Sus scrofa: one gene and its partner. The protein of the gene in region 2 interacts with the protein of the main gene of each other region in a pairwise test. Links are inferred from orthologs where the notes say so. Each region holds a gene or a part of one and is shown on either strand. Other genes may lie near its edges.

What was found. The genes of interacting proteins can lie anywhere in the genome.
Region 1: the proteins of WDR4 (region 2) and FAM118A interact in binary tests that used the Homo sapiens proteins (3 or more experiments, as listed by UniProt). The two-hybrid records come from large-scale screens. The link is inferred for Sus scrofa from reciprocal best matches to the Homo sapiens genes WDR4 and FAM118A.

What each region holds. Positions count from the first base shown.
Region 1 is NC_010447.5:4,082,078-4,085,648, reverse strand, and holds part of FAM118A (protein FAM118A), read left to right. Parts: intron 1-556; coding exon 557-842; intron 843-2,517; coding exon 2,518-2,550; intron 2,551-3,571.
Region 2 is NC_010455.5:206,084,687-206,088,257, reverse strand, and holds part of WDR4 (tRNA (guanine-N(7)-)-methyltransferase non-catalytic subunit WDR4), read left to right. Parts: intron 1-2,887; coding exon 2,888-3,044; intron 3,045-3,571. UniProt on the Homo sapiens protein: Non-catalytic component of the METTL1-WDR4 methyltransferase complex required for the formation of N(7)-methylguanine in a subset of RNA species, such as tRNAs, mRNAs and microRNAs (miRNAs).

The DNA of each region.
Region 1 (3,571 bases), on a different chromosome or scaffold from region 2:
TTCCTCCTCCTCCTCTTCTTCTTCTTTTTTGGTCTTTTTTTAGGGCTGCACCCGCCACATAATGGAGGTTCCCAGGCTAGGGGGCTGAATCAGAGCTACAGCTGCCGGTCTACACCACAGCCACAGCAACACCAGCTCTGAGCCATGTCTGCGACGTACACCACAGCTCACGGCAAGGCCGGACCCTTCACCCACTGAGCGAGGCCAGGGATCGAACCTGCATCCTCATGGATACTGGTCGGGTTCGTCACCGCTGAGCCACGGCGGGAACTCCCACTCCCTTTCTTCTTCTTTGTTCCTCGTGTGGCTCCTGGGGGAGCCCCGTCAGGGAGCAGGGATTTAAAAGGGCCATCATGTAGGTGGCTCATCCCTGGTGGCTCAGTGGGTGAAGGATCCGGCGTTGTCCCTGCGGTGGTGCAGGTTGGGTCCCCGGCCTGGGAACTTCCACAAGCGGCCAGAAAGAAAAAAATGAAAGCACAAAGATGTAACTTTGGGGTCAGTCATGGGACCGGACCCCCTTTCAGATGAGCAGCTCAGCGTCTCGGTTCCCTCCCAGGAAGTTCTCCAGAACCTGTACCGCACCAAGTCGTTCCTGTTTGTGGGCTGCGGAGAGACGCTGCGGGATCAGATCTTCCAAGCCCTCTTCCTCTACTCGGTGCCCAACAGGGTGGATCTGGAGCACTACATGGTCGTGCTCAAGGAGAGCGAGGACCACTTCTTTAAGCACCAGGCAGACATGCTGCTGCACGGGATCAAAGTGGTGTCCTACGGGGACTGCTTCGACTATTTCCCGGCGTACGTGCAGGACCTCGCCTCGCAGATCTGCCAGCAGCCAAGCCCAGGTACGGGAATTTGCCTTGCTTCCGTATACAAAACCGCGAGGATTCTTCCCGTTTCTCCCCTTTTGGTAGGTATGATTGACATGCCGTAAAATAAAACCAAGAGGGAGTTTTTCATACTCTTGGATCCACTGGTCTTCCAGTTATTTTTTAGCGTCTCTGTGCACTTTACAGAGAGAAGGTTGGGGTAATTGGAACTTGACACGTACAGCCGTGCTTGTCCACGTCTGCCCGTCTCAGGGGAGAGGCCGTGCTTCCAACTCCCTTAACCGAGACAGCCAGCTCCCAGCCGGCTCCTTCAGCCGTGACGCCGAAAACCTGAACCGCAGGTTTCTCACTGCTTTACCCTGTCCGTGCCTTTTAAAGTTACAACTGCAGAGGCGCAGGATGACTGTAGGAAGAGCTGCCTTTTTCCCCTAGCGTCTTCTCCCTGTGGTGCCAAGTGCAGCACCCTTAACCCTGCCCCGGCCCTCACTTCTCCGGCGGGGGGGGCGGGGGGGGGTGACCACCTGCCAGGAATGACCACGACAAGGGGCCACCTCCCACCGGGCAGGTCATGGCTTTGCCTTCAGTGTCAGGGAGCACGAAGAACGGCAGCCGGGAAAGGTCCGCTTTGGCTCTCCTGTCACCGTGACAGGAGACCAGACAGTCACCCTGGCGGTGGGTGGGTCAGCCGCACAGATGGCTGGGGGTGCTGGCAATGGCTTTGAAGACCCGAGGACGCGACGGTCAGGGGTGGCTGACTGCACGTGTGATCCAGCAGCTTGGTTCTTGCCACTAGTCCTTCCTAAAATCACTAGTCATGAGCAAGGTGGACCATTTTAGTTGCATTTCCATTGATAAGAGTGTAACTAGGGTGGTAGTTTTACAAAGAAAAAGAGAGGGGAACGTTGTGTGTAACACACTGCTATGAATTTACATTCTTGAGTGTCTTTCATTTCTATGTATTTTTATATACAACTTTATTTACCTGTTTCGGTTTTGAGGGCCTCATCTGTGGCATATGCAGGTTCCCAGGCTAGAGGCTGAATTGGAGACGTGGCTGCCGGCCTACGCCACAGACACAGCCACGCGGGATCCCAGCTGCATCTACACCACAGCCATGGCAACACCAGATCCTTAACTCCCTGAGAGAGGCCAGGGATCCTCAGGAATCCTAGTCAGGAAGCTGCTGAGCCCCAGTGGGAACTCCGTATAGCATTTTGAGTCACAGTATCCACTGCTACTAAGTAGGTGATTTTCAAGCTGCTGAGACAAGCTCAGAGAGGTGCCTTGCTCTCCCAGTTGGTGCCCAGATACTGTGGAGGTGAGGTTGGGGTCCTGGACCGAGAGCAGAGTCAAATGTGCCACTCAGTGTGGAGGGGGCAGCCTCCCCCCCCACTGCGGGCTTAACCTGGCCTCGGAGCGCCGCTCATGGCAGGGCTTCCTGTCCCCACGGACGCCCCCTTTGCTGGACCCTGGCAGCTGAGTGGATGGACAGGCTGCCAGGGGACTTGCACTCTGTGGCCGTGGGCTTACGCTCTTGAGGCGCTTTTGTTTGGAGAGGGTGGCAGGGATGGTGACACCCCCTCCCCCGAGCCGTTGGCGAGGAGATGGAGGCTGTGGCGGGAGCTGGGCTGCCTGCGGAGGCAGCGCTGTGAGGTCTCGGCTGTGCTGATGCCTTTCCTTTCTTCTCCAGATGCTGAGCGAGTGGACAGCACCACGTCCTTGGGTAAAGCAGCTCTGGATTTTCGCAGCCTGTCCTCTGCCTGCACAGGGTCCCGCTGTCTCCCTGCCGCTCCTTCCTTAACTGTCACAGGCATCCCCCCCGGAACACATAGCTTAAGTTGTGCTGAGATGACACATAGCAGCGCCTTCATGAAGGGATGGCAGATGCAGCCCATCCCCTGGGGAGCACAGCTTCGTCAAACACGGGCCCCTCCCGCTGCCTGAGAATAGCTTCCTGTCCTTGAACCAGAGTCTGTATCGGACCAGTTGGCCTCAGATGTAGTAATTTTTAACCCATCCCCTTCAGAGGTTTTAATTGTAGGTTCTAACTATTTATGTGCATTTTTCTATTTTTATTACTTGAAATGTGTGTCCTCTGGGTTCAACCCTGCCCATTTATGACTTGACGAGGTGCCAGTGCCTCCTGGCATCTAATCCTACCCATGGGTGAACTTGGTGCCAGGTTTTTTTTTTTTTTTTTAGGGTCACACCTGTGGCATGTGGAGGTTCCCAGGCTAGGGGTCGAGTTGGAGCTGCAGCTGCCGGCCTGCACCACAGCCACAGCCACGCTGGATCCTAGCCGAGCCCACAACCTACACCACAGCTCACGGCAACGCCGGATCCTTAACCCACTGGGCAGGGCCAGGATTGAACTCTCATCCTCAGGGTTCCTAGTTGGATTCGTTTCTGCTGAGTCACGACGGGAACTGCAGGTGGCTGGTGCTCCCACGTGGCTGTCACTGGGCTGGAAGGGGCTCTTTTGTCAGCGAGTGGCTCCTTTGCTGGCCTGTCTCGGCGGAGCCCCAGGTGGCGTCTTGGTAGTGGGGGTGGCGGTGGGAGAACAGTTGCCTCCGGCTTTCCGCTTCTAGCTTATTTCCACGTGGAAGAGCGCAGTTATCATTGGTTCCTCTCACTCCCAGAGTGGCCGAGCTTTTGGAAAACGCCTTAGCTCGATAGACAGCTGCAGCACCTGGCAGCGATTGCTCGGTTGGTGCCCCAGCTAAATCAGATTTGTGAGCTGGTCC
Region 2 (3,571 bases):
ACAGTGTGGTGTCCCGGGACGGTCATTTGAAAAAACGAGAATGAAAATTCTCTCCCTTTAAGTTTTTGGTTCACGTAAAATTTAGAAGCCTCAGGGAAGTACAGAGTGGGAACAAAAATGAACCATCGACCTTTTTTTTTTTTTTTTTTGCTTTTTAGAGCTACACTTGCAGCATATGGAGGTTCCCAGGCTGGGGTAGAATCAGAGCTGTAGCCTCCGGCCTCCGCCAGAGCCACAGCAACAAGGGATGCAAGCTGCATCTGCGACCTACACCACAGCTCACAGCAACACCAGATCCTTAACCCACTGAGCAAGGCCAGGGATCGAACCCGAAACCTCATGGTTCCTAATTGGGTTTGTTTCCGCGGCGCCACGACGGGAACTCCTAAGTTTTCGTTTATACATGTTCTGTGTCTTGTGATGTAATAGAGTCCTCTTAAGTCTTTCTTATTTGGTCTCCAACTATGTTGCAGGAACGAGTAGTTGCTTCTCCAGGTTGTCACGGATAGAGCATAAAGGTAGTGAGGCTTCGAGGTCAGTTGAAACAGGCATGTGTTTGATGTGGTCATTTCTGCTGTATACGCCGGGTTTTTAAGTTGGCATCAACGCAATAACGTTGTGTAGATGCCTGCCTTAGGTGGTACGGGAGTGGGAGAAGTGACTGCTGACCTTGAGGTGCCAGGGCCCTGCCTGCCCTGGTGCAGGGCAGCCTCCCGAAGGTGATGGTGATGGCGGGGCCAGGGCCAGCCTCAGGTGGCCGCTTCCCCCCCAACCCCCAGCCTTGTCCTGTAGGTTCCCTGAGCTCGCTTACCTTCTCTGATTGAGCTTCTGGGGGAGCACAGAGGGAGGTGGGTGCGGCTTGTGCTTCCCTTGCCTCACCCCGCTGGGCTGGCAGACGTCACTCTGGCCGGCACAGCACTCGTCGGACCTGGCAGCCGTCTGCTCTGGGGACACAGGCCCCCCTTCGGGTCAATAGGCCCTGACCCTTGGTGCCGCTGATGTCTAGTGCGTTCATACTCGCCCGGCCTCGCTTCCAGCTCCGAGCTTGCCCCAGCGGGCACTTCCTCTGTCTCTGGCAGAGGGGACGGGCCACACCACCCTGGGGGCCCCGGGGGGACCTGGGCCAGGGATCAGGATGCCGTGGAGGCAGGGAAGGTGCTGAGACCCCAGGCCCTGCGGAGGCTGAAGGCGGGTGCCTGGCCTCCTTTCGCGGTCACCATATGGCCCGCCTACCGCTGATGACCTGCCCCCCACCTGCCACCCGGTGCCCTCCGACCGAGACCTGCTCCCTGCAGCAGAGCCATGTGCTTCAGTTGTTGCCAGGATGGATTCAGCCTGAGCAGCTGAAAGCCCTCAGCTGGCAGAGCACTGAGGGGCAGGATCCGGAGTGCCACATCTGTGCCCAGCTGGTGGGAGGGGATGCAGTGGGAGGTGGGCCTAGTTCCCTGGAATCCAAGCCCCTTACTCCCTCAGGAAGGCCCGAGACCTGTGCCACAAGGCTGGGGCCCCGCCTCCAGAGGCCCTGGCCCCGCCCCCGGAAGGCTAAGGCTGTGGCTGTGCTCCTGGCAGCTGCCTGATTTGCCCTTTAGGACAGGCAGCTGCTTTGCTGGTGCAGGACTTTGTTTAAATTACCGGCACTGGGAGAATTCGGATTAATCACGCCCTGGAGCGTGTCTTTGTTTCCCCCTATTTATCACCTTTCTCCTCCTGCTGAGGCTGCCCCTGCCCTGGAAGCACTCCGGCTGCGCCTGGGAGCCCAGCGCCTGCAGCCCGGTGTGGCCCCACTTGCTTGCTTCTCTGTGCTCCTGTCCCTCCTGCGGGGAGGGCAGGGTCCCTTGGCCCTTGTGCTGGGGAGGCGATTCCTTGAAGCTTCATCAGGCCAACATCTGGAGTCCGGCTGCCATGAGCCGGGCACCTTCTGCAGGGTGTTAGCTCTCTACGGGGACAGTGGGTCCCCGTCCAGCCCTCGGGTGATGAGCAAGCTGGGACTGGCTTTGTGACGAGGCCATGTGCGGATGAACGTAAGGCCTCGTCTGTAAAGCAGCGTCAGGGCTAGTGTCCAACGTAAAATAGACCTACAGACACCTGCTCGTGGAGAGGCTGGTAGGAATAGTGAGAGACGGAGTCAGGAGGAACTAGCCTAGCCCCGGACCCTGGGGTGCGCAGGCGGGCTGTGGGGCCCGTGTCCCTGTGTGTCATTTTGTCCCTGACCAGCTCATCATTGAACCAGCTCTCAGCTGTGACAGATGCTGTGGCTCTAGATCAGGGATCTGAGTTGGTGCCGTGCCCTTGGGGCTGCCCAGCGGAGGGTGTGGTGCCGTCTCGCTGCCCGTGGCATGTCCGCCTGGCACCGGGCATCATGGGCTCTCGTTTTCATGTGTCTCGCATGAGTGGCATGGGTGGGCTCCTGCTCCAGGTGGCCAGGCCAGCAGTGGGTGGGCGCAGGCCTTGGGGTCGGAGTGTGGGCCTGGGTGGGAAGCGCACCACCCAGGAGGGTCCGGCGCGGTTTTGATTGCGTCCGGGAGGTGCCCGGCCAGTTGCCCCAGAGGCCACAGTTTGGTGTTTAGGGAGCTGGCCGTGGTCTCCTTTCAGAAGCGCCCAGGCATCCTGCTACGGCAGGCTGCAAGCACAGCGCAGTCCAGAGGCTTCTGTGTTGGAGGCTTAGCTCCCCACCACCCAGATCCTGCCATGAGCACGTTTTTAGAAGGAGAAAATTATAACGTAACCTCTGTCCGGGCATTGGCTGTTTCCATGCTCACAATTGCCTTTTGGGGGGCACCATCTTCGGTGACCGCCACAGGGCGGGCAGCCGACAGGTGGCTTGCAGGTCAGCGGGCGGCCCGGCCCTGAGCCCCGTCTGCCGACCGTGGTGTCTCTGGCCTTCCAGGACCGTGGTGAGGAGGTGCACGGCCCTGACCTTCACGGCCTCCGAGGAGAAGGTCTTGGTGGCGGACAAGTCTGGGGATGTCTATTCCTTCTCGGTGCCGGAGCCGCACGGGGGCGGCAAGCTTGAACTCGGACACCTGTCGATGCTGCTGGACGTGGTACGTGGCTGACGTGCCGCCCTGGTTCTGCTGTGATGCGGCTCAGGTGGGACGAGGAGGGCGAGGCGGGCCTGTGTGCCAGGCGGGCGGGTTTGGGTTCTGCTGTGGCAGGACAGCCCGGCAGAGCTGTGGGCACGGGCCAGAGGGCGGGACTCTGGAGGCGAAGCTGCCAACAGGGTGGAAGAAGACGGGTCACTTGGGCTGGCTGGTCAACACGGGAGGGACGCCCAGGCTGGGGAGGGGAGGTGGCGGGCCGTCCTCCCAGCCCCCTCGCTGGGTGCCAGCCCTGCCTAGAGGCCCGGGCTGCAGCCAGGAGGTGGGCCCTGCGGGGACATGCAGGAGTTAGGGGTGGTGAAGGGCAGGTCACCAGGACCTGGGGACATGGGTAAGAAGGAGTGGAAGGTGACCTGGGTGTGTGGCCGGTGGGGCGGAGGGGTGGAGTGGCCGCTGTGTCCGGCGTCCGGAGGCAGCGGTGGCCTCCGGGGCACCTGGCCGGGGCCGAGGCCGGGGTGGAGGTGGGGGGTGGG